2 linked regions of the Stegostoma tigrinum genome follow. The protein of the gene in region 2 purifies or fractionates together with the protein of the main gene of each other region. This does not show direct contact. Links are inferred from orthologs where the notes say so. Each region holds a gene or a part of one and is shown on either strand. Other genes may lie near its edges.

What was found.
Region 1: the proteins of phf6 (region 2) and lyar purify together in Homo sapiens (affinity purification with mass spectrometry; 3 studies listed by BioGRID and IntAct, with this or other methods). This does not show direct contact. The link is inferred for Stegostoma tigrinum from reciprocal best matches to the Homo sapiens genes PHF6 and LYAR.

Annotation. Positions count from the first base shown.
Region 1 is NC_081354.1:55,228,226-55,244,043, forward strand, and holds the start of lyar (cell growth-regulating nucleolar protein), read right to left. Parts: upstream 6,600-15,818; 5' UTR 6,274-6,599; intron 1,956-6,273; 5' UTR 1,871-1,955; intron 849-1,870; 5' UTR 802-848; coding exon 680-801; intron 210-679; coding exon 95-209; intron 1-94. Other genes in the region: zbtb49 (zinc finger and BTB domain-containing protein 49), read left to right, coding at 11,575-11,732, 13,680-14,863. UniProt on the Homo sapiens protein: Plays a role in the maintenance of the appropriate processing of 47S/45S pre-rRNA to 32S/30S pre-rRNAs and their subsequent processing to produce 18S and 28S rRNAs. Also acts at the level of transcription regulation.
Region 2 is NC_081368.1:309,982-326,037, reverse strand, and holds the start of phf6 (PHD finger protein 6), read right to left. Parts: upstream 8,467-16,056; 5' UTR 8,398-8,466; intron 8,384-8,397; exon of another isoform or gene 8,330-8,383; intron 4,733-8,329; exon of another isoform or gene 3,602-4,732; intron 1-3,601.

The sequences.
Region 1 (15,818 bases), on a different chromosome or scaffold from region 2:
CTACAACCAATAAATTTTTTAAACGTATGAACTACTGCAAAGTTGAGTTCCTAGAAGCATACGAGGAGCAAGATGCAAAGGAAGATTTACTTACCTCTATCCATTGTTGTTGTTTCACATCTCCTTTTTTGGCCTTGGCTTCAAATCCTTTACCACCATACTTTTCATCTTCACTAATGCATTTAATATGTGCTTTGTAATCCTCACCCCTATAAACAGTTGAAGACTTCTTTTAGGAGGAATGTCAACTATTATTTTATCTCAATTATGTAGGAGGGAGCTTTCATTTCATAATTTCATTGAGTGGAGCCAAAAACATACAGCATAGATCTAAAAAGCATTCTTCAAAGCTGTAGCTGCAAAGATTGAATAGTTCAGCTTCACAAATTCCAACAGAACATTGAACTGTATGCAGTGCTATCAATTCAATCATTTTGCAACTATCAATCATTAGATATTAGTAGCAGTAGCGCTGGAGGGGCTGGCACAACGTACAAGCTGTACATAAGCAGCAGCAGAAGTAACAAATTAAAGCTGAATCTTAGAAATAATGAGACTGCCAATAGGTGATCTCAGATGAAGAAGATCAAAGTAAACAAAACAGGAGCACTTACTAAAACTATAGAACACAACACATGTACAAGCCAAAGCTTCTTACGTAAGAATGACAAATACTTACCAAAAGTCCTTGCCACAGTCAATACATGACAAGCACGGGCAATTCCGACAACTGTTAAAATGTTTTTCCACTTGAGCTTTCTTGACAGATGCTCCACATCCATTACAGATGAAGACCACCATTTTGTTTTATTCTAGGTCCCTTCTCCTTATACACCACAAAGCAATACCTGTAATACGAATAAATATAACTGTCAAACAGAGGAATAATCAGTTCCAATACTCTATGCTGATTTTATCTTATGCTTACAGTTGGCTTTACAATAATGGATGAATTCTGTCATTCTCACTTTTGTCCAGATTTCTCCCAAGTCAGTCCTGATCAAAGTCGCTGACCTGAAACATTAATGCCGTTTTACTCTCTCCACTGATGCTGCCTGACCTGAGTATTTTTGGCATTTTCTGTTTTGCTTCAGATTTCCAGTATCTGCAGTATTTTGCTTTACCAATTGATAGAAAAGTGGATCTATTATAAAAGTTACAGAGGAGTTAGCAAATCATGAGAAAGGAGCAGAAGGTGTTATTAAAGCTTACTTTCAACAGATAGCAAAAATGTTCTTGAGCAGGTAAAGAGGGAATTTCAGTGTTTAGGTCCTAAGCAGTGAGGTTTGAGTGCCAGAGAGATGAAGAAAATCTGGCATACAGAAAAGGCTAGAACTGGTCAAGCACTGAAGGGCTGCATGGCTGAATCAGGAAAGAGAAACAGGAAGAGGTAACGTTACTTAGAGATTTCAAAAATCAAGGCCTTGTTAGGCCAGGATGCTATGTATATCACAGGATAGGAATGATGGGTGAACAGATCTAAGTAGCTGAGTTATGGGTAAGTTCAACTTTATAGACAGAGTAGAAGTTGAATGGCCACTCCGAAGTGCAAAGAAATAGATAGGTATAGGGATGGATAAGGATTTCAGAAGCATTTATATCTGCTTTTGGCAGATACACTATGTTACACAGATGAAAGAAAGTGCTGTCAGCAATGGAAAAGGAGACGTCTGAAACTGCGGGAGGCAATGACAATGTGATAATGTCGCTGGACTAGTTATCTGGACCCCAGGCTAATGTTATGTTTTATTATGGGAGAATTTGATAAAATATACAATAAAAAGCTGGCCTAATAACAACCATGGAAACATTATTGATTATCATTTTTTAAAAACTGCTTCACTGAGGGAAGGAAATCTGCCATTCTTACCTGAAATAAACTAAAGAACTGCAGATGCTGGAAATCTGAATTAAAAATAGAAATTGCTTGAAAAACTCAGCACATCTGGCAATATCTGTGGAGAGAAAGCAGAATTAGCCTTTAGTTACAATCCTTCTTTAGATCTGTTTCTGCATCATTCTTACCTGACTGCCCTAACTTGTCTCCCGAACCACAACAATGTGGTAGGCTAAATGCCTTCCAGACTGGCCTAATAAATCATGCAGTTGTACCAAACCACTGCAAGGTTTAAAAGGAACAAAATTAAACAAGACAGACAGAAAACACAGCCCTGTCAACCCTGCAAAGTCGTCCTGAACTGCATCCGGAGCTTGCCCCAAAAATTGAGACACGTGTCCCATGGATTGGTCAACCATAGTCATACTACAGAATCATACCTCAGAGATGATATCCCACATACCACAATCACCATTCCTCAATATGTCCTGTCCCACCAGTAAGACACAGCCAGCAGAGGTGGCAACAGTCAGCAGGGAATTTTCAAGACAGCTCTTGGCATTGACTCTAGATTCTATGAAATTTCATAGGCATCACCTTGAACATAGGTAAAGAGACACGCTGCTGATCAGCATTATCTCTCTGCCCCTGCTCACCCTCCCCGCCCCGTCCAAAGCACTACATCCATGCTGTCGTACAGGCTTCGTGTGGCATTGTAGCCCAGCAGCAGAATTATATTCAACCACATTCTGCAACCTCATACCCCCACTCTACCGCTATCACGAAGCCAGGGGATCAATCCTAGCTCAATGAAAAATGCAGAAGATTATGTCGAGAAGCACACCAAAAATGAGGTCCCAAATAGTGAAGGTACAACACAATACGAATTGCATGCTTTGCAGCAGAAGTGGCATGAAGTAAACAGGGCTAAGCAATAAAGCAACCAAAGGATCAGATTTAAGCTTCTCAGTGCTGCAACACAAATAGTGGTGATAATTAAACAAACAGGAGATGGAGGGTCTACAAACAGCCTCATCCTCAACAATGAGGAATCCCATCACATCTTCCCTAAAGGCAAGGCTGAAGAATTGCATCCATCAAGCCGGAAGTGCTGAGTGGATAATCCATCTCAGCCTACTTCAGAGGTGCCCAGCATCAGGAGAGTCAATTTTCAGCCAATTCAATTCACTCATGTGACATCAAGAAGTTGCTGGTGTCACTGGGTGTTGCAAGCGTTTTGAGCACTGACAATATTTCAGTCAGACTTATGCTCCGGAACTAACCCAGCTGTTACTGTGCTGCTGTACAAGACTGGCATCCAGCCAATAACATGGGAAATTGCCCGGGGAAGTCCCGTGTACAAAAAGCAGGACAAATCCAGGCCAATATAATAAGATAATAAAATGTGAGGCTGGACGAACACAGCAGGCCCAGCAGCAAAGGAGCACAAAAGCTGACGTTTCGGGCCTAGACCCTTCGTCTCTGATGAAGGGTCTAGGCCCGAAACGTCAGCTTTTGTGCTCCTAAGATGCTGCTGGGCCTGCTGTGTTCATCCAGTCTCACATTTTATTATCTTGGATTCTCCAGCATCTGCAGTTCCCATTATCACTGATACAAATCCAGGCCAGACAGTTATTGCCCTATTATTCTAGTCATGATCATCTCAGCAATAACCTGCTTGCTGATGCTCAATTTGGGTCTGCCAAGGCTACCCGACACATAAGAGCGAGCAGATATCATGAGATGAGGTGTGTCTAACTGGCCTTGACCCCAGGACAGCAATTATTGACACCTACATTGAGACACTGACTACAGTTCAAAAAGATTTCATTGACCAAGAACAGTAGCAGGGACTGCAGGAAACATTGGAAATGGGGGTCGTGGGGTGAGGGAAGAGAGAAAAACAGGCATGGACACTTCACTGGTTGGAGTCATATCTGGCACAGAGGAAAACGGTTGCTGTCAAAGGTCATTCATCTCAGCAGAAGTTCTTCAGGGTAGTGCATAAGGCCCAACCATCTTCAGCTGATTTAACAATGACCTTCACCTGATCATAAGATCGAGGTGGGGCATGCTTATTGACAATTGCACAAGGTGCAGTAAAATCTATATCAACTCAACTACTGAAGTAGTCCTTGTTCTTATGCAACAAGGCTTGGACAACATCCTGATCTGGGTTAACGACTGTCAAATAACATTCATGCCATACAATAACCACCTCCAACATGACAGAATCTAACCATCACCTTTTGAGATTAATGGCGAAACCCCCACTGTCAACACCTTGATGGCGGTTACCACTGACCAGAAACTGACTGAATCAGCCATAAACACACTGAGACAACAAGAGCAGTACAGATGTCAGGCATTCTGCAAAGAACAACTTAATTCTGGGCTCCCAAATGCCTGCTCACCAGGTACAAGTTAGGAGTGTGATGGAATATTTTACACTTGCCTGGATGAGTGCAGCTCCAGCAGAACTCAAGTAGTTTGACCTTATCCAGCACAAAGCAGAACACTTGATTGGTACCACATCCAACACTTTTAACCTTCACTCCTTTCACCAACATACAGTAGCAGTATTCTGAGATAATGGGAACTGCAGATGCTGGAGAATCCAAGATAACAAAGTGTGAAGCTGGATGAACACAGCAGGCCAAGCAGCATCTCAGGAGCAGTATTCTGTGCTACTTACAAAATGCACTGCAGTAACTCACCAATGCTCCAGTAACAGCACGTTCCACACTCATAAGCTCTATCATCTCAAAGAACAAGGACATCAGAACACCACCAGTTGCATGTTCCTCTCCAAATCACACACCACCAGTTTAGGAATACAAATACTGTATCTTCACTGTTGCTTGGTTAAAATCCTGGGACTCCCTGCCTAGTAGCAATATGGATGCTCCTATATTCCAAGGATCACAGCGGTTCAAGAATCCTATTCACCACCACCTTCTCTAGGGCAACAAGGAGACCTTACAGAAATTTATAAAATAAACAGCGGTATAAGAGTTAATGGTACTTGTCTTTTCTCTAGGATGGGCAATTTGAACACTAGGGGGCACAATTTTAGGGTGAGATGAGAGACTTAAAAAAGATGCAATTTTTTTTACATAGAGGATGGTTCACCTGTGGAATGAACTTCCTGAGGAAGTGGTGGATGTGGGTACAATTATGATGCTTAAAAGATATATGAATAAGCACATGAATACGAAAGGTTTGAAGCGATATGGACCAGGAGCAGGGACTAGTTTAGTTTGGGATTATGCTTGGCTTGGACTAGTTGGACGGAAGGGTCTATTTCTGTGCTGAATGACTCTAAAAGTAAAGACGGGCAACAAAAGCAGGCACAGTCAGAGATGCCCAGATCCCAAGAACAAATAAAAGAAATTCAGCTAATGGTCAAAAAAAATGCCAGGGTAACATCAAGAGTTCACTTTTAGACAGTGAGGCCAGAGTGAGGGATGGAGTCTGTGAAGAAGAACCAAAGATGACAGCTTTGTTCTTCCCAATATTCAACTGTTAAGTACTTGACAGTTATAGCATTAGGCAGTTGACAGTTTACAAGTGTGAAAATTAAAACGTCTCTCAATGAAGCTGAGGGCTTGCATTGATGGGCAGATGAAAGTAGAACTGCTTCAGGCTAACTTGGAGAGAGACTGGGTGATGTTCACCACAATTCAAAGTTGCACCAAATTGAGGAATATGAAATCCAATTTCCCATCATGACACTGATAGCCTAAAATCAACATTAAAAGTATTACTGTCTCAGGTTGAGATTGTGGGCTCAGGTCCCAATTTGGAGACTTGAACAGACATAATTTAGTGGTTTCTCCAAAACTGTTGGTAGTGCCATTTTTGAATTGAAACATTGAACTAAAGTTGCACCTGTTTTCATGAGAATGTAAATATCACAAGACCCCACTCTGAAGAAGTAAGTTATCACTCAGTTAGCACTTATCGTGCTCTGAATTTATTGACACCTACATTGAGACACCAACTATAGTTCAAAAAGATTTCATTGACTCTAAAGTAATTTGGATTGACTTAAGGTTGTGAAATGCTATTTTTTTAAAAAGAAGAATTACAATTAAATAAAATTATTAAATTACAGAGACTGAAACTATCAAGTCATCTTTAGGTACGTTTATACATATGCCAAGCACATGGAGTGGAAAGAAATGCAAAGAATAAAAGTTAACTCAAGGCCGGGGGGGAGCAAAGAAGCTGACTCTTCAGTGGGTCCTTACTGAAGGAGGAGTGCAGCCGCCTGTTGGAGGTGTATTTCTTTTTCATTCGAAACAGGGCCTTCGAGTTAAGTAAATGATTTACAAATGACTTAAGCACCTTGCTTAACTTGCAGCAAGAAGCCAGACAACTTCTAGAATCGACATAACAAAAAAACAGGAACAGTCTGAAACGAAACGAGTTACCTGTTACCCTTCAGCTCCACTCGCTGCAGCGAGCTCCTCAAACAGACCCGCTGCTCCTCACCCTCCTCCGGCAGCCCCAGCCAACCCGAACGCACACGTGTGTGGTACCGGAAAAACGAGATGCAACGCTCCGTCTCTTCCCCTATCTCCTCCGCCCCAATACTGAGGTTCCGGGTGCCGCGTTCCTGTGGAGCTCACCGTAAAAAGGGAGAAGGGAATAGAGATGCCAGAGAGTGGGGGCCAGGGCAGGACGGGCAAGAAGAGAGCGCGGAGCCTGTAAACAATTAGGTAAAGAACCTTGCCCGGGAATGGAATGCGGCCCGATCCGGGCAGGGTTCCAATTGTTTGTTGCAATTTGTTGTAAATGGTTATTGCCCAGTCAGGCGAGGAGATGGCTCCTTTTACTCTGACCTAAGCGACCAGGAAAAGCGTTCCGGGGCGCAACAGCATCAGTTGGTTCGACTGCTGTCCTCCACCAGCCTCCCGTCTTCCTCCAGTTTGCATGTTCCGCCATCCACTTGCTTTGTGCCTTTCCCGTGCTAGTGCATCTAGGCCCCGAGTCCCTTTTATTAATTGTTGTCCTGGAAACTGAATCGGAAAACCTCTCCCCTAGCTTGGCAGTGATTACAGGGAGAAAGGATGGACCATGATTGAGGATCAAAATCTATTGCAGAATGAAAATCTATTCAGAAGGAAAGTGGAATGGAAAATGGAAATCCCTTAGCTTTTAATTTTAATTTAAAAGGTACAATGATGATTAATGATGACTGGTTAAATGTATTTATCTCCAATCACTTTGTGGATTTTATTCTAATTTTGAAGTGTTTCACGTATTCTATCAGTTTTTTGTTGTTTTTTTTCTACTGGATGTGAATAAGGGTATAATGACTTAAAGGATTTATCTTTGGTGAGGATTGCAATATGTCAAGGAAGCTGCCTGCACAGACAAGATAACCGTAGCATTATTCACAGCAGTCTGTCTGCCGAGTAACTTCACATGTCGTTTCTCACCAACAAACCGAGATCTAGTCCGTCTGTCTCTGCATTAACAACATTTAATGTTGTTTACATTATTACATTTAACATTAAATGTTAAACAACATTTTAATCCACCAGATTTTTCCTGTTATTCTTCTGGCACGGAATGTTTTAAGCAGAAAACGCTGGAAATTACTGGACAGATGAGCAAATATCTCTGCAGGGAGAGCAGCAGAGTTTACGCTTCAGGTCGATGACCATTCATTAGAATTCGCAAAAGTTAAAGATGTTTAAGGTTTTTATTCAGTGAAAGGATGTGTTAAAGAACAGAAGGTCAGGGTCTGATGTCAAGAGGGCATTTAAGTGACAAACCTCTTACAGGGTGTGAAAGGCTTCAAAATATCTGGGAGACACCGCATGTTACTTCTTCTGGGCCACAGTCTGGGCAAAACTGTGGAATAGAGGCAGGTAGCCAGAGGCTTTTCCTCCTGACACAACCTGCTTTTGGGTGATATTTACATTTGCCATACCCCTTTCCTCGCAAACTCTGTGGGAAAATTGTACAATTCATTTACTTAGCACCTTGACAGAAAGTTTTAACCACACCTATCTGTGATGGATTTCAAGATCTGATCTCTACATGCTTAATATTTTGAAAATAATCTTGTGAATTTGTTGGTTGTAATTTCTAATTCCAGTATCTTTAGGAATGTGGCATTCTTTCCATTAATGTAGTCAGTCAACAGCATTGCTGCTAAGATAATAAAATGTGAGGCTGGATGAACACAGCAGGCCAAGCAGCATCTCAGGAGCACAAAAGCTGCCAGAGGAATAGCATTGCTGCTATTCCTCTGACAATTAAGCAATTCGAGATATGAGGGCTATCCACTACAAATGAGAAAAAAATGCTAATACAATTGCATTTAATTTAATTTCACTACTGTCTTGTATCACAGATAATTCACTTCTAAATATTTTACAATTAGGTATTATATTTAACCAGTGTTAATAAACAGCTAGCATTCTATCTAAATTATGAATAACTTGGAGGGTACTTTCTTAATAATGAGGAGTATAAAATCATGTAAATCATTGTTAAAGTTTGACATTACTGATACTTAGCAGATATTAAGCAGTGTGTAAGCAAGTTCTGAATGCACTTTCCTTGCTTGCCCCAATTATCCTGGGAGTCTCAATGTTCTATTTTTTTCCAGAGCTGAGACACAAAACCTCATGTCCAAAGTAACTGCATGACCACTAACCTTCACCTCAAATATCACTTTGTCATCCCTATTTTTTATTCACTGCAATTGACATCATTCACATCTTTACTTTTTCAACACTTTGTTCATTGGCTTCCTAATCTCCACCATAAACTTCAACACGTCCTTAAAAGTATAGCATGCTCACCATTCTGCTATAAGTCCCATACATCTACTACGCCTGTCCTTGTCAATTTTTAATCACCTCTCTATTGCACTGAAACATTAACTTCAAAATCCTTGTCTGTGGATGTGAGTTTGCTCGCTGAGCTGGAAGGTTAGTTTTCAGATGTTTTGTCACCATTCTAGGTAACATCATCAGTGAGCCTCCGACGAAGCGCTGGTGTTATGTCCCGCTTTCTATTTATCTGGTTAGGTTTCCTTGGGTTGGTGATGTCATTTCCCGTTCTTTTTCTCAGGGGATCGTAGATTGGTTCCAAATCAATGTGTTTGTTGATTTAATTCCGGTTGGAATGCCATGCCTCTAGGAATTCTCGTGCGTGTCTCTGTTTGGCTTGTCCTAGGATGGATGTGTTGTCCCTATCAAAGTGGTGTCCTTCCTCACCTGTATGTAAGGATACGAGTGATAGTGGGTCATGTCGTTTAGTGGCTAGTTGATGTTCATGTATCCTGGTGGCTAGCTTTCTGCCAGTTTGTCCAATGTAGTGTTTGTCACAGTTCTTGCAAGGTATTTTGTAGATGACGTTCGTTTTATTTGTTGTCTGTATAGGGTCTTTTAAATTCATTAGCTGCTGTTTTAGTGTGTTGGTGGGTTTGTGGGCTACCCTGATGCCAAAAGGTCTGAGTAGTCTGGCAGTCATTTCGGAGATGTCTTTGATGTAGGGGAGAGTGGTTCTGGTTTCTGAGCCTGTTTTGTCTGTTTCTTTGGGTTTGTTGCTGAGGAATCGGCAGACTGTGTTCATAGGGTACCCATTCTTTTTGAATACGCTGTATAGGTGATTTTCCTCTGCTCTGCGTAGTTCCTCTGTGCTGCAGTGTGTGGTGGCTCGTTGGAATAATGTTCTAATGCAGCTTCGTTTGTGGGTGTTGGGATGGTTGCTCCTGTAGTTCAGTATTTGGTCCATATGTGTTGTTTTCCTGCAGAGGCTGGTTTGAAGTTCCCCATTGGCTGTTATATTTGGAAAGTTAAGATGAACAAAATTGTAATTCAGGAGTTCAAACTGGGAAATTACAGTATAAGTTGAATTTTCCTTTCTTAACTATTTTTAAAATGCTCAATGACCTTGTACTTGAGCAACTTTTATTTTTAATTGACTTGTGGGATGTGGGCATTGCTAGCTGGATAGCATTTATTCCCTATCCCTAGTCGCACTTGAGAAGGTGGTGATGAGTTGCCTTCTTGAAACGCTGTAGTCCGTGTGCTGTAGGTAGACTCATGATGCCTTTAGGGAGGAAATTGCTTGTATGAAAGTGAATCTTGCTGCTGTTTTATATCCCTCCTGACATTTATTTCCCCTCTTTTATTGAAATGTACATAAAAATTATGACTGATGTAAAATAGTTTGCTATTCACTGTCATTCTTTTACAATATCAAGTGTACTCCCAATCTGTCGCACACTTACCCTTCATTTGTGGTATTTTCAAATCCCTATGACCTCAGCACAGCTTATTTCACTGCTCTGAACTCTTTAAAAACTCTGCTCACTACTATTTCACTCTTTATTGTGATATTTCTTTCCACATTTACCTCAAGCATTGACTTGTATGGTCTTTTGTTTCTTGCGTTTATACCACAAGAAAGCTAATGGAATGTTGTCCCGTTTCCAGACTGGAGTACAAGAATGCAGACTTTACGCTGCAATTATATGAAAACCTGACTCACCCCTGCTCTCCACCCCACTAAACTTTGGAAGGTCAAAAATACTTGCAAGGTGGTAATCCTTGAATCACACATTATTTTTTATTCTAGAAACATGAAGGATACTCTGCAGCAAAGGGAACAGATATACCTTCATGCCCGTGATGTTATGTTATAGTTCTGAAAAGAATTTTTTAAAAAGATAAAATTATGGATGACTTTTTACATTAGTTAAAAAATGTATTAGATAAGGTGAATTTCTGGCAAAGCGATATTTGTTTGAAATGATGTTGAATGTTGAAACAAATGTCTTTAGATCAATGGGTAATGTATATTTGAATTAAATATGATTTCTGTCTCTGTCTGTGGTTAGTTGAGTTTTTACCCAAAGTGAAGGTAAGGTGGCATTTATTATTCTAAATTAAAATAGTCAAATTAAAGCTCAAGAGCCATGAAGTTTCACTGCAATAAAACATAATCAGTTGGTTACAAAAATAATTGATCAGGTATTGGGATATTCTGAGCTGGAATTTCTTATAGAAATATTGGATCATCTTCATGTTCACCCAACCCCTACACCTTTTCATCTTCTTCACCCAGTTTTAGAAATAGTGCTGGATGGATGACAATCTCAATTACCCTTTTTAAGACAAAACCATTGCATAACCAGGGAGGGAAAAAAATATCTTTGAATTTTATCTTTTACTTCAACAACTTGCATCTTTATAGTCCATTTGATGCAACATAATGTCGTGTCCAATGATTCTTACCCCTGTGCTCAGATCAAAACATAGCATAAACAAACTGCTCAAAACATTTTCTGAAGAAGGGTCTCGACCCAAAACGTCAGCTTTCCTGCTCCTTTGACGCTGCTTGGCCTTCTGTGTTCATCCATCTCTAAACCTTGTTATCTCAGATTCTCCAGCATCGGCAGTTCCTACTATCTCTGCTAAAAGCACATATCAGAAGTATTTCTTGGAACCCTGCACGCAGAATCACATTTTGACTAAAGAAAAGCAATATCAACTGGTCATTTAGCTTTAAATTTGTGAAGGAATTTACAAAATTTCTTGTGTGAATTCGAAGCTGTGATGAGTGACTTTATCTCAACTGCATTTGAGACATCCTGCTGTATGAATAAAACCACCTACCCTCCAACTGATTGATTGATTGATTCTGTACCATTTTAGTAAGTCTCATGTTATGTCAGAGTTTCTTTCCCATACTAGGTCAGCTAAAGGATGGCAGCCGAAGCACTAGGAAACCACAGCTGCCATCTACTACAGCAGCTTCATGAGCAGCGTATCCAAGGATTCCTGTGTGACTGCATGCTGGTGGTGAAGGGTGTCTGCTTTAAGGCTCATAAAAATGTGCTGGCTGCATTCAGCCAGTACTTTAGGTAGGTATGAACTATCCGTAACGTTTAAATTCAAATTGTGTACTGGAATTAGAGTTGGTCTGAAAGTCATCTTTTTTTTAAATCTCAGCCAGTCTTTGCTAATGGACATGTCCACCCATTGTAATAAAATGTGAGGCTGGATGAACACAGCAGGCCAAGCAGCATCTCAGGAGCACAAAAGCTGACGTTTCGGGCCTAGACCCTTCATCAGAGAGGGGGATGGGGAGAGGGAACTGGAATAAATAGGGAGAGAGGGGGAGGCGGACCGAAGATGGAGAGAAAAGAAGATAGGTGGAGAGAGTATAGGTGGGGAGGTAGGGAGGGGATAGGTCAGTCCAGGGAAGATGGACAGGTCAAGGAGGTGGGATGAGGTTAGTAGGTAGATGGGGGTGCGGCTTGGAGTGGGAGGAAGGGATGGGTGAGAGGAAGAACCGGTTAGGGAGGCAGAGACAGGTTGGACTGGTTTTGGGATGCAGTGGGTGGGGGGGAAGAGCTGGGCTGGTTGTGTGGTGCAGTGGGGGGAAGGGACGAACTGGGCTGGTTCTTCCCAGTTTGTCCCCTCCCCCCACTGCACCACACAACCAGCCCAGCTCTTCCCCCCCCACCCACTGCATCCCAAAACCAGTCCAACCTGTCTCTTCCTCCCTAACCGGTTCTTCCTCTCACCCATCCCTTCCTCCCACCCCAAGCCGTACCCCCATCTACCTACTAACCTCATCCCAACTCCTTGACCTGTCCGTCTTCCCTGGACTGACCTATCCCCTCCCTACCTCCCCACCTATACTCTCTCCACCTATCTTCTTTACTCTCCATCTTCGGTCCGCCTCCCCCTCTCTCCCTATTTATTCCAGTTCCCTCTCCCCATCCCCCTCTCTGATGAAGGGTCTAGGCCCGAAACGTCAGCTTTTGTGCTCCTGAGATGCTGCTTGGCCTGCTGTGTTCATCCAGCCTCACATTTTATTATCTTGGAATTCTCCAGCATCTGCAGTTCCCATTATCGCATGTCCACCCATTGCATTGGTTATGCGCATATGATACATAATTAGTCTTACATATAGCGATTACTTACTCTCAGTGCCACAGTTACCCTTTATGAGATATCCCCAACCTCACAACCCCTATTCGCACTGTTCCGGCTGACCATGAGCTTTGATTAGATTGTTGGAAAAAACTTATGCCTGACATTTTTCGAAGTTTTCTTATTTTACTTTGTTTTCACTATAATTCACATTAGATTATACCAGAACCCACCCAACATTGCTTGCATCCTCAGCTATTTGTAATTACTTCAGACATTTAAAGTCTTTTTTTTGCATTTTTCTTCCAAATTATATTTAGCACACCATACAATTTCCATCTGGAAACTCTTGGGCAGGTTATCGTTGTTTAAGCAATCTGTAAATTGTTATTTACATTTTGCGAGTGCCTTTTCAAGTGCTTTAAGTTCAAAATAAATTATGGACCTTCAATGTTAATTACCCTTCAGTCAGTCTGTCGCTGTCATACACTTTCTGCCCTGAGAAATCCATTCCTGGTAACATCACAACCAATCGCAGTTATCACATGAAGCCATTGAATTGATTATTAATCTCAGCGTCAAACTATAACTGTTTCTCCAGCCAAGAAATTAGCTAACACTGGCAGTAAATCATCTCCAAACACATCTGGAGAGTAGAGTTTTATCATCCAATTGTAATTATTAGTTTACAAAAAAAATTCTTGCTGCTTTGAATGCCTTTACTGTATTCTTAAATTGCTTTACCATAATTACATTTGTAGAGTGAAGTAAAAGCATCAAAGTTCACTTTTTACTATCACAGAAAATGCTGTGGATGTTTAGAATTGAATTCTTTGGCTCATTTTTAGTAAAAGCATTTGAGTAGTAACAAGTTTTGAGTTTGTCTTTTTAGCTTAAAGTAATTTTCTGTTCTGTCCCAAATCTTTCAGGACCTTATTTCAAAATTCTTCAGGCCAGAGCCGTGATGTCTTCCATTTGGATATTAAAAATATTGGTGGCATTGGCCAGATTCTGGATTTTATGTATACTTCGCACCTTGACCTTAGCCATGAAAACGTCCAGGCTGTGTTGGACATTGCTCAGTGTTTGCAAGTACCAAACGTGCTCAGTCTGTGCTATACTTTCCTAAAGGCTTCAGCAAATGTCATAGGTGATAGCAGCAACTTGGCAGCTGCTAGCACTATTTCACTGCATGGAGCCCTGTCAACTGACACAGAGGATATGCTAGAGAATACAGATGGCTCTGAGATAAACCATGACTGCTCTTTTGGGATACAGAGTCATATCCATAAACCTCAAGAGCTGGGACTTTTATTTAGACCACTGCCAGATATTTCTCAAGCTGAAATATCAGCGACTTTGCAGAACCAAACTCCTGGACTCCCAGACAGGACTACTTCAGATTATCCAATGAGGCAAAATGCTCAACAGCCTTCTAAATTGTACAATTGTTATGGAAAAGAAATGTTCAAGCAAAATCTGTCACCTTTCTTCAATAGTAATCAAGGGGAGCAAAGAAGAGTGGATCTCGATGATGGTATAAGCGCGGCAGTAACCACAAAGGATGTATCTTCCCTTGAACCTACTGAATGCAACAGTGCTGCTCAGGAACCGTCCTCATCAGGCATGACGATGCACACAGAAGAAAGATGGTCCTTTAGTCAGAGTATGGGGAACGTGGAACCTCAACCAATTAGACAGTTGCCTCATGTGAAAAAGAAAGTCCCTCTGAAGAAGTATGATTATTTGTGGCCCAAAAAACTGCTTGAGTCACCTTCTGTGCTCCCTAAAGTGAATGAAATATCCGAAGCTGAGAAAGTAAATGGACACAGCTCAAGGGAGCTCCCCAAAGAGAATTTGGGACAAGGCGGTTGTGCCGGGGAGAAAGATCAGGAACAAGTGAAACTGACTGACTCACCTTTGAGAGGGAGTGATCTAGTACCAGTTAACCATGGACCTGCTGGAGATTCCGAGGAAGTTCTTGACCAATCTTTAAATAACTCAAACGTTCAGTCCCAGTTTTGTCAGTCACAGAAGCAATATTGTTGTGAACTATGTGGGAAAACTTTTAAGCACCCGAGTAATCTAGAATTACACAGACGTTCTCATACAGGTATTGTAAATGTTGGGAAAGTGCCATTTTGATTTTTATGGTTGACTCACCAGTTTATTTGCCAAAGGCTAATTCTCCCCAACATATCCTGCCATTCCCTGTGCAACTTCCCTCAGTGAAAACTGTGTTCCCACTTTCTGCGACTCATTTCCCCATGCCACTTGGACATGTTCACTTATGCGCCAGAAATTACTGTGGTTGCCTCAGCAATGTTAGACATGGATAGGTGATATTAGATGCGAGAGAAAAGATTTAAAAGGGACTTAAGGGGCAACATTTTCACACAGAGGGTGGTTTATGTACGGAATGAGCTGCCAGGGGATATGCTGAGGGCTTGTACAATTATAACATGTAAAATACCACTGGATGGATATATGAATAGCAAGGATTTAGAGGGATATGGGTCCAATGTTGGCAAACGGAACTAGATCTGTATAGGATATCTGGTCAGCATGGATGAGTTGGACCAAAGGGTCTGTTTCCAAGCTGTACATTGCTATGACTGTTTGACTAGGACCAGTTTAGATCCTAAAGTGGTAAAAACTGCTCTGCTGGGAATTTAAATACAGAGGGCTTTGAGGACATGAAACTCTCATTTGTAGATGATACAAAGATAGGTGGAGGGTGAGGAAATGTTGAGGAAGTGAGGAGGCTGCAGAAAGACAGACAGGCCAGGAGAATGGGTAAAGAAGGAATGCAATGTGGGAAACTGGGATGTTATGCATTTGGTGAGGAAAAGAATAGAATAGCATAGTCTATTTTCTAAATGGGGAAAGGTTTTGGAAATCTGAAGAGATTTGGGAGCCCTAGTTCAGGATTGTTTTGAGGTTAACTTGCATGTACAGTTGGCAGTTAGGAAGACCAACACAATGATAGCATTCAATTCAAAAGGGCTAGATAACAAGAACGTAGATGTACTGTTGAGGCTGTATCAGACTATGGTCAGACGACATTT
Region 2 (16,056 bases):
TCCGAGGCCCAAAACCCGCCCAGCTACTTTCTTAATGGTGTTCCAATATAAAGTCAGAAATGGGGGATGATCCCTCAACACCCTCATGATTCCTTGGATACTGAAGCAGCCCATCACCATATGCAGCAAGACTCAGACACTGGTGAGGCTGGAGCTAATAAATGGTAAGTACATTTGCGCCATGTTAGTGCCAAGCAATGAGCATCTCCTACAAGACAGAATCCAACCATCATTCATTGGGGTTAAAATCGATTCAGAGATAGTAGGGTGTGGAGCTGGATGAACACAGCAGGCCAAGCAGCATCTTAGGAGCACAAAAGCTGATGTTTCGGGCCTAGACCCTTCATGATGAAGGGTCTCGGCCCAAAACGTCAGCTTTTGTGCTCTTAAGATGCTGCTTGGCCTGCTGTGTTCATCCAGCTCCACACTGTTGTTACCTCTGATTCTCCAGCATCTGCAGATCTCATTCTCTCAGATAGTAGGAACTGCTGATGCTGGAGAATCTGAGATAACAAGGTGTAGAGCTGGATGAACTTAACAGGTCAAGCAGCAGAGGAGCAGGAAAGCTGACGTTTCAGGTCTGGACCCTTCTTCAGAAAATGTCACCTTGTTATTTCAACCTTAAGTGGGCTTTTTTCTTCCCCCAATGATTTTACTATTGCTGAATACCTCACTATCAACATTGAACACAAACTGAATTGGACTAGCCATATAAGTCCTGTGACTGCAAGCGCAGGTCAATGGCTTACAAAGCAGTACCAAACAATTCACCTCCTATCTCTCCAAAGCTTGTTGAAGGAACAGGTTAGGAATGTGATTGTATCTTCCGTACTTGCCTAAATGAACTTCTGGAAACATTCAGGCAGCTTGATATCATCCAGAACAAAACAGACTGCTTGACTGGTATTGAAGGCAGTAAATGCAGTGCCAAAATACAGGAGGGTACACTATCTACAAGAAACACTGCAATAACTCACCAAGGACTCTGCAAAAGCATCTCCCAAAAAGTGCCACACACACACTGTCTAGAAGGGCAGAGCAGCAGGATACATGGGTACAACCAGTGTTTGAAAGCTCCACTTCAAACCACACACCAGTTTAACTTGGAACTATATTAAAATTCTTCCATTTAGTTACAAAATTGGCTAAGTTATTGAAAATAGAATATAACGGTCAATTAATACTTTTCAGACTATAGGAAGGGCTCTAGTGAAGTTTCCCCAGGATCAGTATTGGGGCTCTTGCTTTTTCTGATATATATTAATTTATTTGAATCTTGATGCACAATGGGCAATTTCACGTTTTGCTCATTGTACAAAACTCCAAAGAATTGTAATCTGAGAGGATTAATGTGGAGGATACAAGTTGGAATGCCAGCATAGGCGTCAGATGAAGTTCAATGGTGAAGAACATGGACGGGGGAGGTGGTGGCATACTGTATGGCTAATATCGAACACAAGAACAATACAGCATAAGAACAGGCTGTTTTGCTCACAATGCTGCGCAGAACATGACACCAAATTAAACTAAGTCCGTCTGTGTGTCCTTGGTCCATATCCTCAGATAAGCAATTGATTATCTAAAAGTCCTTACAAGTCCCTATCATACCTGCCTCCACCTCTACCCCTGGCAGCATGCTCCACACACATACCACTGTGTTTAAATAAAAAACTTGTTCCTCATCTCCTTTGAACTTTATCTCCCTCAGATTAAATGCATACCCTTAGTATTAGACATCTCAACTCTTGGGGGGAAAAAGAGCAGAACATTGTCACTGGAATACGAATCAAGAGGCTTATGTTAATGCTCCGGGGAACACAGGTTCAAATTCCTGTTAAGTGCCAAAGCGAGCATACAAATCTGGCAAGGAGCAGCTGAACAGAGCAGCAGGAAACCTTTGAGGGGCTTCCCTTCCTTCCTCTCAAACCAGATGTTGAGCTACAGATGTGACATCTGGATTGAAAAATCACACCAGGCAATAGAAGCTGCTGATTGGGTGAATCCACGCTGTGAATATTTCATAGAATCAAAAAAACCCCTACAACGTGGAAACAGGCCCTTTGCCCCACCAAATTCACACTGACCATTGGAGCATCCCACTCAGACCCATGCTCCTACAAGCCCAAGTTATACATCCCTTAACACTATGGGCAATTTAGCAAGGCCAATCTGTCCAGTCTGCACATCTTTGGACCGTAGGAGAAAACCAGAGGACCTGGAGGAAACCCACACAGACAAGGACAGAACGTGCAAACTCCACACAGACAGTTGCCCAAAGGATGGATTCAAACCCAGGTCCCTGGTGCTGTGAGGCAGCAGTGCTAACTGCTGAGGCATCTGGAGTACCATAAACAGATTTAGTCCCTTACTTACAGCATCATTTCATTTGAGACAATTCAGAGAAGGTTCAATAGGATGATCCCTGATATGAAGAGTTTATCTTTTCAGCAAAAGTGGACAGGTTGGGACTCTAGTCACTGCAGTTTAGAAGAATGAGGTGACCTCATTGAAACATATCGCATTCTTAAAGGGTTTGATAGGGTAAACTCTGAGAAGGTGGTTCCCCTGAAGGGAGGGTGTAGGACAAGATGGCACAGTCTTAGAAGAAAGGGGTTCCAATTTAGTCAGAGTCATACAGCATAGGACAGACCCTTTAACCCACCGTGTCCAGACCACCAACAAGCACTAAACTGCACTAATTCCATTTACCTGCACACGTTCCATAGCCTTCTATGCCTTGACATTTTAAGGGCTCATTCAGATGCTTCTTAAATGGTGCGAAAGCACCTGCCTCCACCACCCTCTTAAGCAACCCATTCTGTATTTCTATTACCCTCTGGGTGAAAAAAAAAACTTTTTCTTAGGTCTCCTCTGAACCATTTACTCCTCACCTTAAATGTATGCCCTTGGGTCTTAGGTATGTCTATCACGGTGAAAAGATTCTCACAGTTTAATCTATGTAGAACCATAGAAATTATACCTCATACCACCTCAAAGACACCCAGATGTCCTTTCTAATGAGAGAGAGTAAGAACTGCCAATGCTGGAGTCAGAGATAACACAGCATGGAGCTGGAGGATCACAGCAGGCCAGACAGCATCAGGGGAGCAGGGAAGCTTACGTTTCGGGTCAGGACCCTTTCTAATCCCATCTTCCTGCACATGGCACACAGCCTTCACGCTTACAGCATTCTATATGCAGATCCAGTTATGTTTTTAGAGTTTTAGGGTCTTTGCCTCCAGCACCAGCTCAGGTAGCAAGTTCTAGATATCTACCACCCTCTGTGTGAAAATGTTCTTCCTCATATCCTCTCTAATCCTTTGGCCACTTAGCTCGAATCTCTGATGCCTGGTTTTTGAACTCTGTGCAAAGGGAAACAGGTTCCTCCTATCAACTCTATCTTTCCCGTTCACAATTTTGTATCCTTCAATTATGTCATCCCTCAGCCTTCTCTATTCCAAAGGGAAAAAACCCCAACTTCTCCCTTCTCTCTTCACAGTTACAATTTTCCAGCTCTTCACCGCACACTCTCCAAATCAATTATATCTTCCCTATAACGTATCGACCATGACTGTACATAGCACTCCAGTTGTGGTCTTACCAGTGACTTACATGGCATAATGGTTAGTACTCTCGGCACCAGAGACCAGGATCAAATCCAGCCTTGGGCAACTGTCTGTGTAGAGTTTGCTTGGGTTTCCTCTAGGTGCTCCAGCTTCCTCCCACAGTCCAAAAGGCAGACTGGCTATGCTAAATTGTTCTGTGGTGTGCAGGCTTAGGTGGGGTGCCTGCAGAGGGTTGTGTAGACTCACTGGACAAAATGACTTCTGTCTGCAAAGTAGGGATTCTACAGTTTCATCATTGTATCTCTATTTTCATATATTCTATATCTCTCCCAATGAAGGACAGCATTCCATATGTGTTCTTTACGTCTCTCAATTTTGTATACCTCAATCACACCTCCCTCAGCCTCCTTTGCTCCAAGCAATAAAGAAGACTCTGCCTATCCAGTCTCACTTCATAACAGACTTTTCATCCCAAGCAACATCCTGGTCAATACCCTCTGCACCCTCTCCAACACATCTCAGCTTTCTGATATTCAGCAACCAGAACTGCACACAGTATTCCATCTGTGACCTGTTGGACTATAACCCGGTGTCATTACAACTTTTATAAAGTCAGAAATCACACAAGACTTCTTACAACTATATTCTACGCCCCAGCTAATGAAGGCAAGCATTTTGCAAATCTTCACCACCCTGTCTACCTGTGCTGACACCTTCAGGGATCTATGAACTTACAACCTTCCCTTATTAGGCATTCCAAAATGCAAATCCTCATACCTAAATTCCATCTGCCAATGCTAAGCCCAATTTACCACCTGATCAATATCAGACTGTAGCCTGAGGCCATCCTCCTCCCTATCAACACCAATAATTTGTAAGCCATGAGCAAACTTACTAATTATAAACCTTCTACATTCACATCCAAGTTTTTAATGTACATAAACAGTAAGGGTCTCAGCACTGATCCCCTGTGGTACACTGCTGGTCACAAGCTTCCAATCATAAAAACACCTTTCCACCATCACTCTTCACCTGCTACTTACAAGTCAGTTTTGAATGAATCCTGTTGGGCACTTGGATCCCATGGGCTCTTGTGGACCAGTCTTCCATGTGGGACCTTGTCAAAACCCTCAATGAAGTTCATGTCAGCCAAATCAACTGCACTACCCTCAACAATATGTTTAGACAACTTTTCAAAAAGTTCAATGAAATTTGACAGGCAACTCCTCCCCCCCCCCCCCACCCCCCCACACCAAACCACCAACCAAGCATTTATAGTGACTGTCCCTGATCAATCCCTGCCTTTCTAAGTGTTGGTTAAGCCTGTCTCTCAGAATTATTTCCAACAATTTCCCTACCACAGATGTCACGCTAACTGGTCTATAATTAAAAACCAAATAGCTGCAAATGCTGGAAATCAAACTTAATCAGAAGTTGCTGGAAAAGCTCAGAAGATCTGGCAGCATCTGTAGAGAGAAATCAGAGTTAACATTTCAGTCCAGTGACCCTTCTTCAGAACAGCTAATACCTCGTTATTACTCAACGTTCTAGAATATGACCATCCCAAATAAAACCCCAGCTTTATCCCCTATGAAAACAGCTGAAAAGTATTCATTTAAGACATCATCCGTGTCTACGGGCTGTAAGCACAAACTGAAGATTTTTTTCTCTCAAAGACTTGAGCGTCTTTGGAACTCTTTGCCACAGTGAGTTCTGGGAGCATATTCAAGGAAGAGGTAAATCAATTCTTGATCAGTAGGAGCATCAAGAGTTACAGGGAAAAGGCAGGAAAGTGGACATGAGGAATGTTAGATCAGCCATGATCCTACTGAATGGCAGAAATGGGTCGAGGCACCTAATTGCTGAATCCTTTCCCTACTTCTTGTGGTCTTATGGACAGGCAATATAAAATAAGTGGTACAATTTTTAAATGGAGTCCAGGAGCACAGGGTTTTAGGTGCATATGTATACACAGCATTACAAATGACACAGTTGGAGGCAGCTGTTAAAGCACATTGTATCCTGGGCTTTATTAACAGGTGCATAAAGTACAACAGTAGGCAGATGATGATGAACTTAAAAAAGATACTGATCAGATCTCAGCTGGAATATTGCACACTGTTCTGTGCAGCTCGCTAAAGAAATGATGTGAAAGCATTGGAGAGAGTGCAGAAGAGATGTATTTAAAGGGGCATGAACAATAAAAGTCTAGTTAGAAGAACCAATGATGACAGTGGTTGGAGGGAGGCTGTTCTCCTGAGACATAAACAGGTCCAAAGGAAATCTGAGAGAAACTTACAAAATCATAAGGGAGCTAGAGTAGATAGGGGTAAACTATTTCTACTCATAAAAGTATCAAGAACGACAACAGTATATAGATACAAAGAGATAGAACATAGAACGGTACAGCACAGTACAGGCCCTCCTGCCCATGATGTTGTGCCGAACTTTTATCCAAAAATCTAAGGTCTAAGCTTCACCAAGTAAATGTGATGAAAGAAAAAGCTTTGTCACACTCCTGGTTTAGGTTTTGAATGCACTACCTCTAAGATGTAAGATAGGTTTAATTGAAACATTCAAGGCAACATGAGATGGTTATTTAAATAGAAACAATGAGTTATGAGAAATAAAACACAAGAACGGTACAAAGTTTTTTTAAATTCATTCACAGGATGAAGGATAGCTGGCCAGGCAGCATTTATTGCCCATTCCCACAACCTAAAGGGCAGTTCAGAGTCAACCACATTGCTGTGGATCTGGGGTCACACGTAGGCCAGGCAAGGCAAGGATGGCAGTTTCCTTCCCAAAAGGACATGAGTGAACCAGGTGGGTTTTTTCAACAACCGAAAATGGAATATTAGACTCTTAATTCCAGATATTTATTGAGTTCTAATTCCAACATCTGCCATGGCGGGATTTGAACCCGGGTCCCCAGAACATTATCTGGGTCTCTGGGTTAACAGTCCAGTGATAATACCATGAAGCCATCACCTCCCCATCACGATGGTGGCACTGTAGGAGGTACAGGGGAGGCTCACTAAATTGATTCCAGAGGTCAGAGGGTTAGCTTATGAGGGAAAATTGAGTATACTGGGTCTGTACTCATGGGAATTTAATAAGGGGGGGTGGGGGGGGGGGCAGTGGTTGGAATCTTATAGAAACATAAAATTATGAAGGGAATAGATACGATAGAGGCAGGGAGTTTGTGTCCACTGGTGGGTGAAACTAGAACTAGGGGGAATAGCCTCAAAATATAAGACAGATTTAGGATTGGACCGAAGAGAAACTTCTCCCAAACAGTTGTGATTCCGTGGAATTCCCTGTCAGTTAACCTGTTAAGGGTATCTTGTTGAAAGTTTAAGGCAAAGATAGATTTTTGAACAAGAAAGGAATTAAGTGTTATGGTGAGCAGGCAGACAAGCAAAACCGAGTCCATGAAAAGATCATCCATTATATTATTGAACGGTAGAGTAAGCTCAAAATAGGCAGATGGCCTACTCCTGCTCCTTATTTTCTTATTTGGTGAGCTGGTTTATACACAATGGGCCAAATGACCTCTGTTTGCCATGACAACTTTTGTATTGCCTCACTGTTAATCCAGAGACCCAGATAATGTTCTGGGGACCTGGGTTTAAATCCTGCCACAGCAGATGGTGAAATCTGAATTCAATAAATATCTGGAACTAAGACTCTAATGATGACCAATCATTTTTTGGAAAAAGCCATCTGGTTCACCATTGTCCTCTGGGGAAGGAAACTGCCATCCTTACCTGATTTGGCCTACACGTGACTCCAGACCCACATCAATGAGATTGACTTTTAACCACCCTCTGGGCAATTAGAGATGAGCAATAAATGCTGCCTAACCAGCAATGCCATCATCTATGAATGAATAACAAAGGAAACAAAAAGATCTGCCACTGGGTTAAAATTTTGGAACTATCTTTCTAACAGCAATGTTAATACGCTGATATCCCAAGGAATTAAACAGCTCATCATCACAGACTCCAGGGCTATTAGTGATGAGGAGCAAATACCAGCCTAGCCAATGACACCCACATTGAACAAACAATATAAAGAACGAATTCAGAAAACAGAATGCAAAGCAATTGACCCCACATAACAAAAAAAGAAATTAGTAACAGCATCAGCAGAGAAATGGAGAGCTTTATGGAAAGGTGTAATGGCTTAGAGCCCAGGCAGATGAAGGCACAGCCAATAACAGTCCAACGAATAAAATCAGAGATGCTGAAGAAGCTGAAATTGGAGGAGAACCGATATCTGAAAAGGCTGCAAAACTGGTAAAGATTACAGGGTTAGGGAGGGGCAAGGCCTCAGAGGAATTTGAAAACAAGAGTGAGAATTGTACAATTGAGACGGTGTTTGACCTGGGGACAGCAAGCCACAGGGATTGCCCAGTGAATGGGACTTGGTGTGAGAGCAGAGTTTTAGAGGAGCTGAAGTTAGAATGTGGGAGGGCAGCCAGGAGAGTGGGGCTGGGGCGAGCCTGGTGTTAACAATGAACTGGGGAAAGGGGGGGAGGGGGCAAGTGCGGAGGGGAATAGGGGCAAGAAGCGAAGGGGAACAGGGGTGGACGGGCTGCAAAGAGCTAGCAGCTGTAGGATGGGGCTAAAGGCCTGCCTCTGGGCAATGACCAGTTCACACGTTGCTGCCGGCGGGCAAAGAGCCTCCACGAGGCCGGCGGAAGATCGGGGTCTGGTAATAAACAGCAGGGCTCATCAGCGGCTGCGGCTCACACTCACGGGAACGGTGGAGAGAAAACTGCAGTAGCTTTAACCTAGGCCCTGGGCTCCGGGCCTGCCGTACTCACCGCGGCCTCTCGCAGCCCAACCGCCGCCGCTCGCTCCCGGATACGGGTCCGCGCTCAGCCCGCCACCCGATGACGTCGCCACGCCCCGCCTCCACAGCTCTGATTGGTCAGTTCCGGGAGAGTCAGTACAGGCGCCATCTCCAAGAAGGGGGGGACGGGAAGGAGGTGCGGGACGAGGGTGCTGGGCCGGTTCCTCCGGGGCACCCCGGTCAACTCTTCCTGAAGCCCTCACAGTCCCAGGATACCTTCCCCTGTAACCAGCGAAGGTGTAACATTCACCTCCGCCATCCCCAGGATACAAGGGCCCAAACATCCCTTCCAGGTGAAGCAGCACCTTGCCTGCACTTCCCTGACTCTAGTCGACTCTATTTGCTATAATAGAGATAACACAGTGTAGAGCTGGATGAACACGGCAGGTCCGGCAGCATCAGAGGAGCAGGAAAGGTGACGTTTCGGGTCTCTGAAACATCAGCCTTCCTGCTCCTCTGATGCTGCTTAGCCTGCTGTGTTCATCCAGCTCTATAACCTGTTACCTATGAATCTCCAGCATCTGCACTTCGTACTGCCTCTTCCCTATTTGCTGCTCACAATGTGGTCTCCGTGACATTGCGGAAAGGAACAGCAGACTGCAAGGTGTTAGAAAGGATTCTGAGGGATAGGATTTATGACCATCTGGAAGAGCATGGCTTGATCAAATACAGTCAACACGGCTTTGTGAGGGGCAGGTCATGCCTCACAAACCTTATCAAGTTCTTTGAGGATGTGACTAGAAAAGTTGATGAGGGTCGAGCTGTGGATGTGGTGTACATGGACTTCAGCAAGGCATTTGATAAGGTTCCCCATGGTAGGCTCATTCAGAAGGTCAGGAGGAATGGGATACAGGGGAACTTAGCTGTCTGGATACAGAATTGGCTGGCCAACAGAAGACAGCGAGTGATAGTAGATGGAAAATATTCTGCCTGGAAGTCAGTGGTGAGTGGAGTTCCACAGGGCTCTGTCATTGAGCCTCTACAATTTGTAATTTTTATTAATGGCCTGGATGAGGGGATGGAAGGATGGGTCAGAAAATTGGCAGACGACACGAAGGTTGGAGGTGTTGTTGACAGTATAGAGGGCTGTTGTAGGCTGCAGCGGGACATTGACAGGATGCAGAGATGGGCTGAGACGTGGCAGATGGAGTGCAACCTGGATAAATGCGAGGTGATGCATTTTGGAAGGTCGAATTTGAAAGCTGAGTACAAGATTAAGGATAGGATTCTTGGCAGTGTGGAGGAACAGAGGGATCTTGGTATTCAGATACATAGATCCCTTAAAATGGCCACCCAAGTGGACAGGATTGTTAAGAAAGCATATGGTGTTTTGGCTTTCATTAGCAGGGGGATTGAGTTTAAGAGTCGTGAGATCTTGTTGCAGCTCTATAAAACTTTGGTTAGACCGCACTTGGAATACTGCGTCCAGTTCTGGTCGCCCTATTATAGGAAAGATGTGGCTGCTTTGGAGAGGGTTCAAAGGAGGTTTACCAGGATGCTGCCTGGACTGGAGGGCTTATCTTATGAAGAGAGGTTGACTGAGCTCAGACTTTTTTCATTGGAGAAAAGGAGGAGGAGAGGTGACCTAATTGAGGTATACAAGATAATGAGAGGCATAGATAGAGTTGATAGCCAGAGACTATTTCCCAGGGCAGAAATGGCTAACACGAGGGGCCATAGTTTTAAGCTGGTTGGAGGAAAGTATAGAGGGGATGCCAGAGGCGGGTTCTTTACACAGAGAGTTGTGAGAGCATGGAATGCGTTGCCAGCAGCAGTTGTGGAAGCAAGGTCATTGGGGACATTTAAGAGACTGCTGGACATGCATATGGTGACAGAAATTTGAGGGTGCATACATGAGGATCAATGGTCAGCACAACATTGTGGGCTGAAGGGCCTGTTCTGTGCTGTACTGTTCTATGTTCTATGTTCTATGTTCCAGCAAAGCTCAGCACAACCCCGTCTAAAAGAAAAAAGCAGCTTATGTAAGGTGGAGGAAGCAAGGGTCCAGCACAGCTTTAGAGGATTACCAGCTTGCTTGGAAGGAGCTCAAAAGTGGACTGAGGAGGGCCAGGAGGGGGCACGAAAAAGGCTTGGCAGGAAGGATTAGGGAGAACCCGAAGGCATTTTACTCATACGTGAAGAATAAGAGAACGTTCAGGGAGAAGGTAGGGCCAATCAGGGATAGCGTAGGGAACTTGTGCGTGGAGTCTGAGCAGATAGGGGAAGCCCTAAATGAGTTTTTTGCTTCGGTTTTCACTAAGGAAAGGGACCTTGTTGTGAATGAGAACTTTGAGGAGCAGGGAATTAGGCTTGAACAGATCAAGATTGAGGAAGTTGATGTGCTGGAAATTTTGGCAAACATTAAGATTGATAAGTACCCAGGGCCAGACCAGATTTATCCTAGGTTGCTCCGGGAAGCGAGAAAGGAGGTTGCTAAGCCGCTGGTGAAGATCTTTGCTTCCACACTCTCCACGGGAGTCGTACTGGAAGATTGGAGGGAGGCAAATGTTGTTCCTCTTTTCAAGAAAGGAAATAGGGAACTCCCTGGAAATTGCAGACCAGTCAGTCTTACGTCTGTGGTCAGCAAGATTTTGGAAAGAATTCTGAGGGACAGGATTTATGACTATTTGGAAAAGCATAGCATGATTAAAGGGAGTCAGCATGGCTTTGTGAGGGGCAAATCATGCCTCACAAATCTTATTGAGTTCTTTGAGGAGGTCACGAGACAGGTAGACGAGGGTCGAGCAGTGGATGTGGTGTACATGGACTTCAGCAAAGCATTTGATAAGGTTCCCCACTGCAGGCTCATTCATAAGAGAGTAGTAAGGGAATGGAACGCTTTGCCTGCAACGGTTGTAGATTCGCCAACTTTAGGTACATTTAAGTCATCATTGGATGAGCATATGGACGTACATGGAATAGTGTAGGTTAGATGGGCTTCAGATCGGTATGACAGGTCAGCATAACATCGAGGGCCGAAGGGCCTGTACTGTGCTGTAATGTTCTACGTTCTATGTTCTATAAAGTCAGGAGGTGTGGGATACAGGGTGATTTGGCTGTCTGGATTCAGAGTTGGTTGGCTGACAGGAGGCAGAGGATGGTCGTAGATGGTAAGTATTCTGCCTGGAGGTCAGTGCTGAGTGGTGTCCCGCAGGGCTCTGTTCTTGGGCCTCTGCTCTTTGGAGTTTTTATAAATGACTTGGATGAGGAGGTTGAGGGGTGGGTTAGTATGTTTGCTGATGACACAATGGTTGGAGGTGCCGTTAATAGCATCGAGGGCTATTGCAGACTTCAGTGAGACATTGACAGTCGGCAGAGCTGGGTTGAGAAATGGCAGATGGAGTTCAACCTGGATAAATGCAAAGTGATGCATTTTGGAAGGTCGAACTTAAATGCTGAATATAGGATTAAAGGCAGGATTCTCGGCAGTGTGGAGAAACAGCGGGATCTTGGTGTTCAAGTGCATAGCTTAGTTTTTTGAAGAAGTGACAAAGAAGATTGACAGTGAAGAACAGAGTACAACAAGATCGAGATCAGATGGACCAAGGGGCCAAGGAGTGGCAAACAGAGTTTAATGAACAAAAGAACAAATAATAAAGCAAATTACTGCAAAGGAACAGACCCTTCGGCCCTCCAAGCCTGTGCCAATCCAGATCTTCTATCAAAACCTGTCACCTATTTTCCAAGGATCTGTATTCATGTATTTGTCTAGATGCATCTTAAATGATGCTATTTTGCCCACCTCTACCACCTCTACTGGCAATGCATTCCAGGCACCCACCACTCTCTGTGTAAAGAACTTTCCACAATATCTCCCATCAACTTTCCTCCTCTCACTTTGAACTCATGACCCGTTGTAATTAAGTCCCCCATTCTAGGAAAAAGCTTCTTGCGATCCACCCTGTCTATACCCCTCATGATTTTGTTGACCTCAATCAGGTCCCCCCTCAATCTCCATCTTTCTAATGTAAATAATCCTAATCTATTCAACCTCTCTTCATAGCTAGCACCCTCCGTACCAGGCAACATCCTGGTGAACCTCCTCTGCACCCACTCCAAAGCTTCCACATCCTTTTGGTAATGTGGCAACCAGAACTGCACACAGTACTCTGAATGTGGCCAAACCAAAGTCCTATACAACTGCAACATGACCTGCCAACTCTTGTACTCAATACCCCGCCCAATGAAGGAAAGCATGCCATATGCCTTCTTGACCATCCTATTGACCTGCGTTGTCACCTTCAGGGAACAATGGGCCTGAAAACCCAGATCTCTCTGTTCATCAATTTTCCCCAGGGCTTTCCCATTTACTGTATAATTTTGACAAATTGAGTTGCTGCAGTGTGGAAAGGCAAATCAGGGCAGGACTTTTACACTTAATGGTAAGTTACTGGGAAGTGTTGCTGAACAAAGAGACCTTGGAGTGCAGGTTCATAGCTCATTGAAAGTGGAGCCACAGGTTGACAGGGCAGTGAAGAAGGCATGAGGTAGCGATAATGGGAACTGCAGGTGCTGGAGAATCTGAGACAACAAGGTGTGAAGCTGGATGAACACAGCAGGTCAAGCAGCATCTTTGAAGCACGAAAGCTGACGTTTCGGGACTAGACCCTTCATCAGAAAAGGAAGATGGGGAGAGGGTTCTGAAATAAATAGGGAGAGAGGGAAAGGCGGACCGAAGATGGATCAAGGAGAAGATAGGTGGAGAGGAGAGTCTGGGTGGGGAGGACAGACATGTCAAGGGGGTGGGATGAGGTTATTAGGTCAGAAATGAAGGTGTTGTTTGAGGTGGGAAGAGGGGATATGAGAAGAAGAACAGGTTAGGGAGGTGGGGACGAGCCTATCCACCTATCTTCGTATCATCGGCAAACTTTGCCAGCATGCCCCCAGCCCCTTCATCCAGATCATTAATAGATAAGGTGAACAGCTGCAGCCCCAACACTGAACCCTGTGGGACAGCACTCGTCACCGGTTGCCATTCCGAAAAAGAGCCTTTTATCCCAACTGTCTGCCTTCTGTCAGACAGCCAACTCTCAATCCAAGCCAGTAGCTCACCTCGAACACCATGGGCCCTCACCTTGCTCAGCAGCCTCCCATGAGGCACCGTATCAAAGGCCTTTTGGAAGTCTAGATAGATAATATCTACTGGGTTTCCCTGGTCTAACATACTTATTACCTCTTCAAAGAATTCTAACAGGTTTTTCAGGCACGACCTCCCCTTACTAAATCCATGCTGACTTGTTCTAATCTGACCCTGCACTTCCAGGAATTTAGAAATCTCATCCTTGATAATAAATCACCTTTACCAGAATAACTATGCTCCAGAGTTTCCAGTTGCCTGCCTGTTCTGAGAAGGGTCACCGGACCCGAAACATTAATTCTGTTTTCTCCACCACAGATGCTGCCAGACCTGCTGAGCTTTTCCAGCAACTTTGTTTTTGTTCCTGATTGATAGCATCTGCAGCTCTTTTGAGTTTTTTTCAATACACCATTGCTTTTCCTGGCAACATTTCTGTCTCAGGCCTGCTGCAAGGGCCCATCAAAGCTCCTTAGAAGCTGGAGCAGCAACACCTCATTGTTTGCTTGGGCACTTTGCAGCCTTCAGGACACAGCATGGAATTTAACAATTTTTTTGAGCATTGCCACACACTTACTTGTTGAAACACAATTATCCCAGGTTCTTGTCTCCTTGGAGCTGAGAAGATTAAGAGGTGATCTTAACTATGAAATGATTAAGAGGTGATGTTACTTATGATCAATTTTGATGTGGAGATGCCAGTGTTGGACTGGGATGGGCATGGTCAGAAGTCACATGGCACTGGGTTATAGCCCAATAGGTTTATTTTAAATCACAAACTTTTGAAGTGCTACCTCTTCAGGTGAAGTGAGAAGGGGCAGGCAGGCACAGGATTTATAATCAGCTCAAAAGATCATACAACTGCTGAGAGCGGGTTGTCAACTGGCCAAATAATAAGACCCTGCGGTGATCGAGAGTGTCAGACAGTGTGAGTAAAGTGTCAACAGCTGAACTGCAAGTGAAGACTGACCTATAACCCAATTAATTGAGGAAGAGCAATAATGCCAGAAAATTAAAACTAAGGTGGTGCTGGAGACAAACGAATGACTGGTTATATTACAGAATAGTGTGTTGGGGTCACATTTAGTGCAACGTGAACCAGAGAGCTTGTGATTTCAAATCAGCCTGTTGGATCATAACCTGGTGTCATGTGACTTCTGACAACGAACAATTTTAACAGGGTAAAGAAGGCTATTCTGTTTCTATGAGTTAGTATATCAGTTACTAGGGTTCACAATTTCAAGGTTATCAGTGAGAGAGCTAGGAGTGAGAGAGGACAATCTTCTTTACCCAGACAATTGTTAGGAATTGGAATGTGCTGCCTGGGGCGTAGTAGAAGTAGATTCCATATGACATTTTAAAAGAGAGCTGGATATATATTTTAAATTGATAAATGTAGAGGGCAATGAAGATAGGGCTGGAGTACAGAGCTAGCTAGTTCTTTTAGGAGCTGGTACAGACACTGTAAAATTCTATGACCATGAAACGAGTTGCTTCCAGTTGCCTATTCATTCTCAACTGCCCATTGTCCCCATTATCACCTATCTAGCTTGTCTTCTTACATAATAAAACAAAAAACTACAAATGCTGGAGAGTTCTGAAACAAACAAAAAATTTCTGAAGAAACATCACTGGACCTGAAATGTTAACTCTGCTTTCCCTCCACATCTCCTCTAAACCTTCTGCCCCTAATCTTAAATCTATGCCCCCAGTCATTCATCCCTCCATCAAGGGTTCCTATTAATTTTACAAATCTCAATCATGACTCCTCTCAATCTCCTCTGCTATAAAGCAAACAACTCTAGTCTGTCCAATCTCTCTTTGTAATCAAACTCATAAGTCCATGCAACATTCTGGTGAATCTCAGAGATAGATAACTGCTGATGCTGGAGTCTGAAATAACACAGTGTAGAGCTGGAGGATCACAGCAGGCCAGGCAGCATTACAGGAGCAGGAAAGCTGATGTTACAGATCGGGACCCTTCTTCAGAAATGGGGATGGGGAAGGGGGCTGGGAATTAAAGAGAGAGAGGAGAGGAGGTGCTGGGGAAGGTAGGTGAGATGGTGATCGGTGAGTGCAGCCAGGGAGTGGTAGGGACTTTAGATCTTCCTCCCCCTCCCTGGGTGACATGTCCATCCTGGGCCTCCTCTAATATTACAATGACACCACTAGCAAAATGGAGGAACAACACCTCATATTCCATCTCGGGAGCCTACAGCCCAATGGCCTAAACATGAAATTCACCAGTTTTAAAATCTCCCCAGCCTCGGCCTCATTCCATGTCCAACCCACTCTGTCATCACTGCCTCCTTGACCTGACATAACCTGACCATCTCCTCCCTCACCTATCCATCGCACCCATCCCACTGACAAATCCCCATTCCCAACCTGCATTCAACTATCGCCATCCCACCTACCTTCCCTTGCCTCGACCCTACTCGATTTATTTCCCAGCTCCCTTCCCCCTCCCCATTTTTGAAGAGGAGTCCCAAATCGAAATGTCAACTTTCCTGCTCCCCTGATACTGCCTGGCCTGCTGTGCTTCTCCAGCTCCAT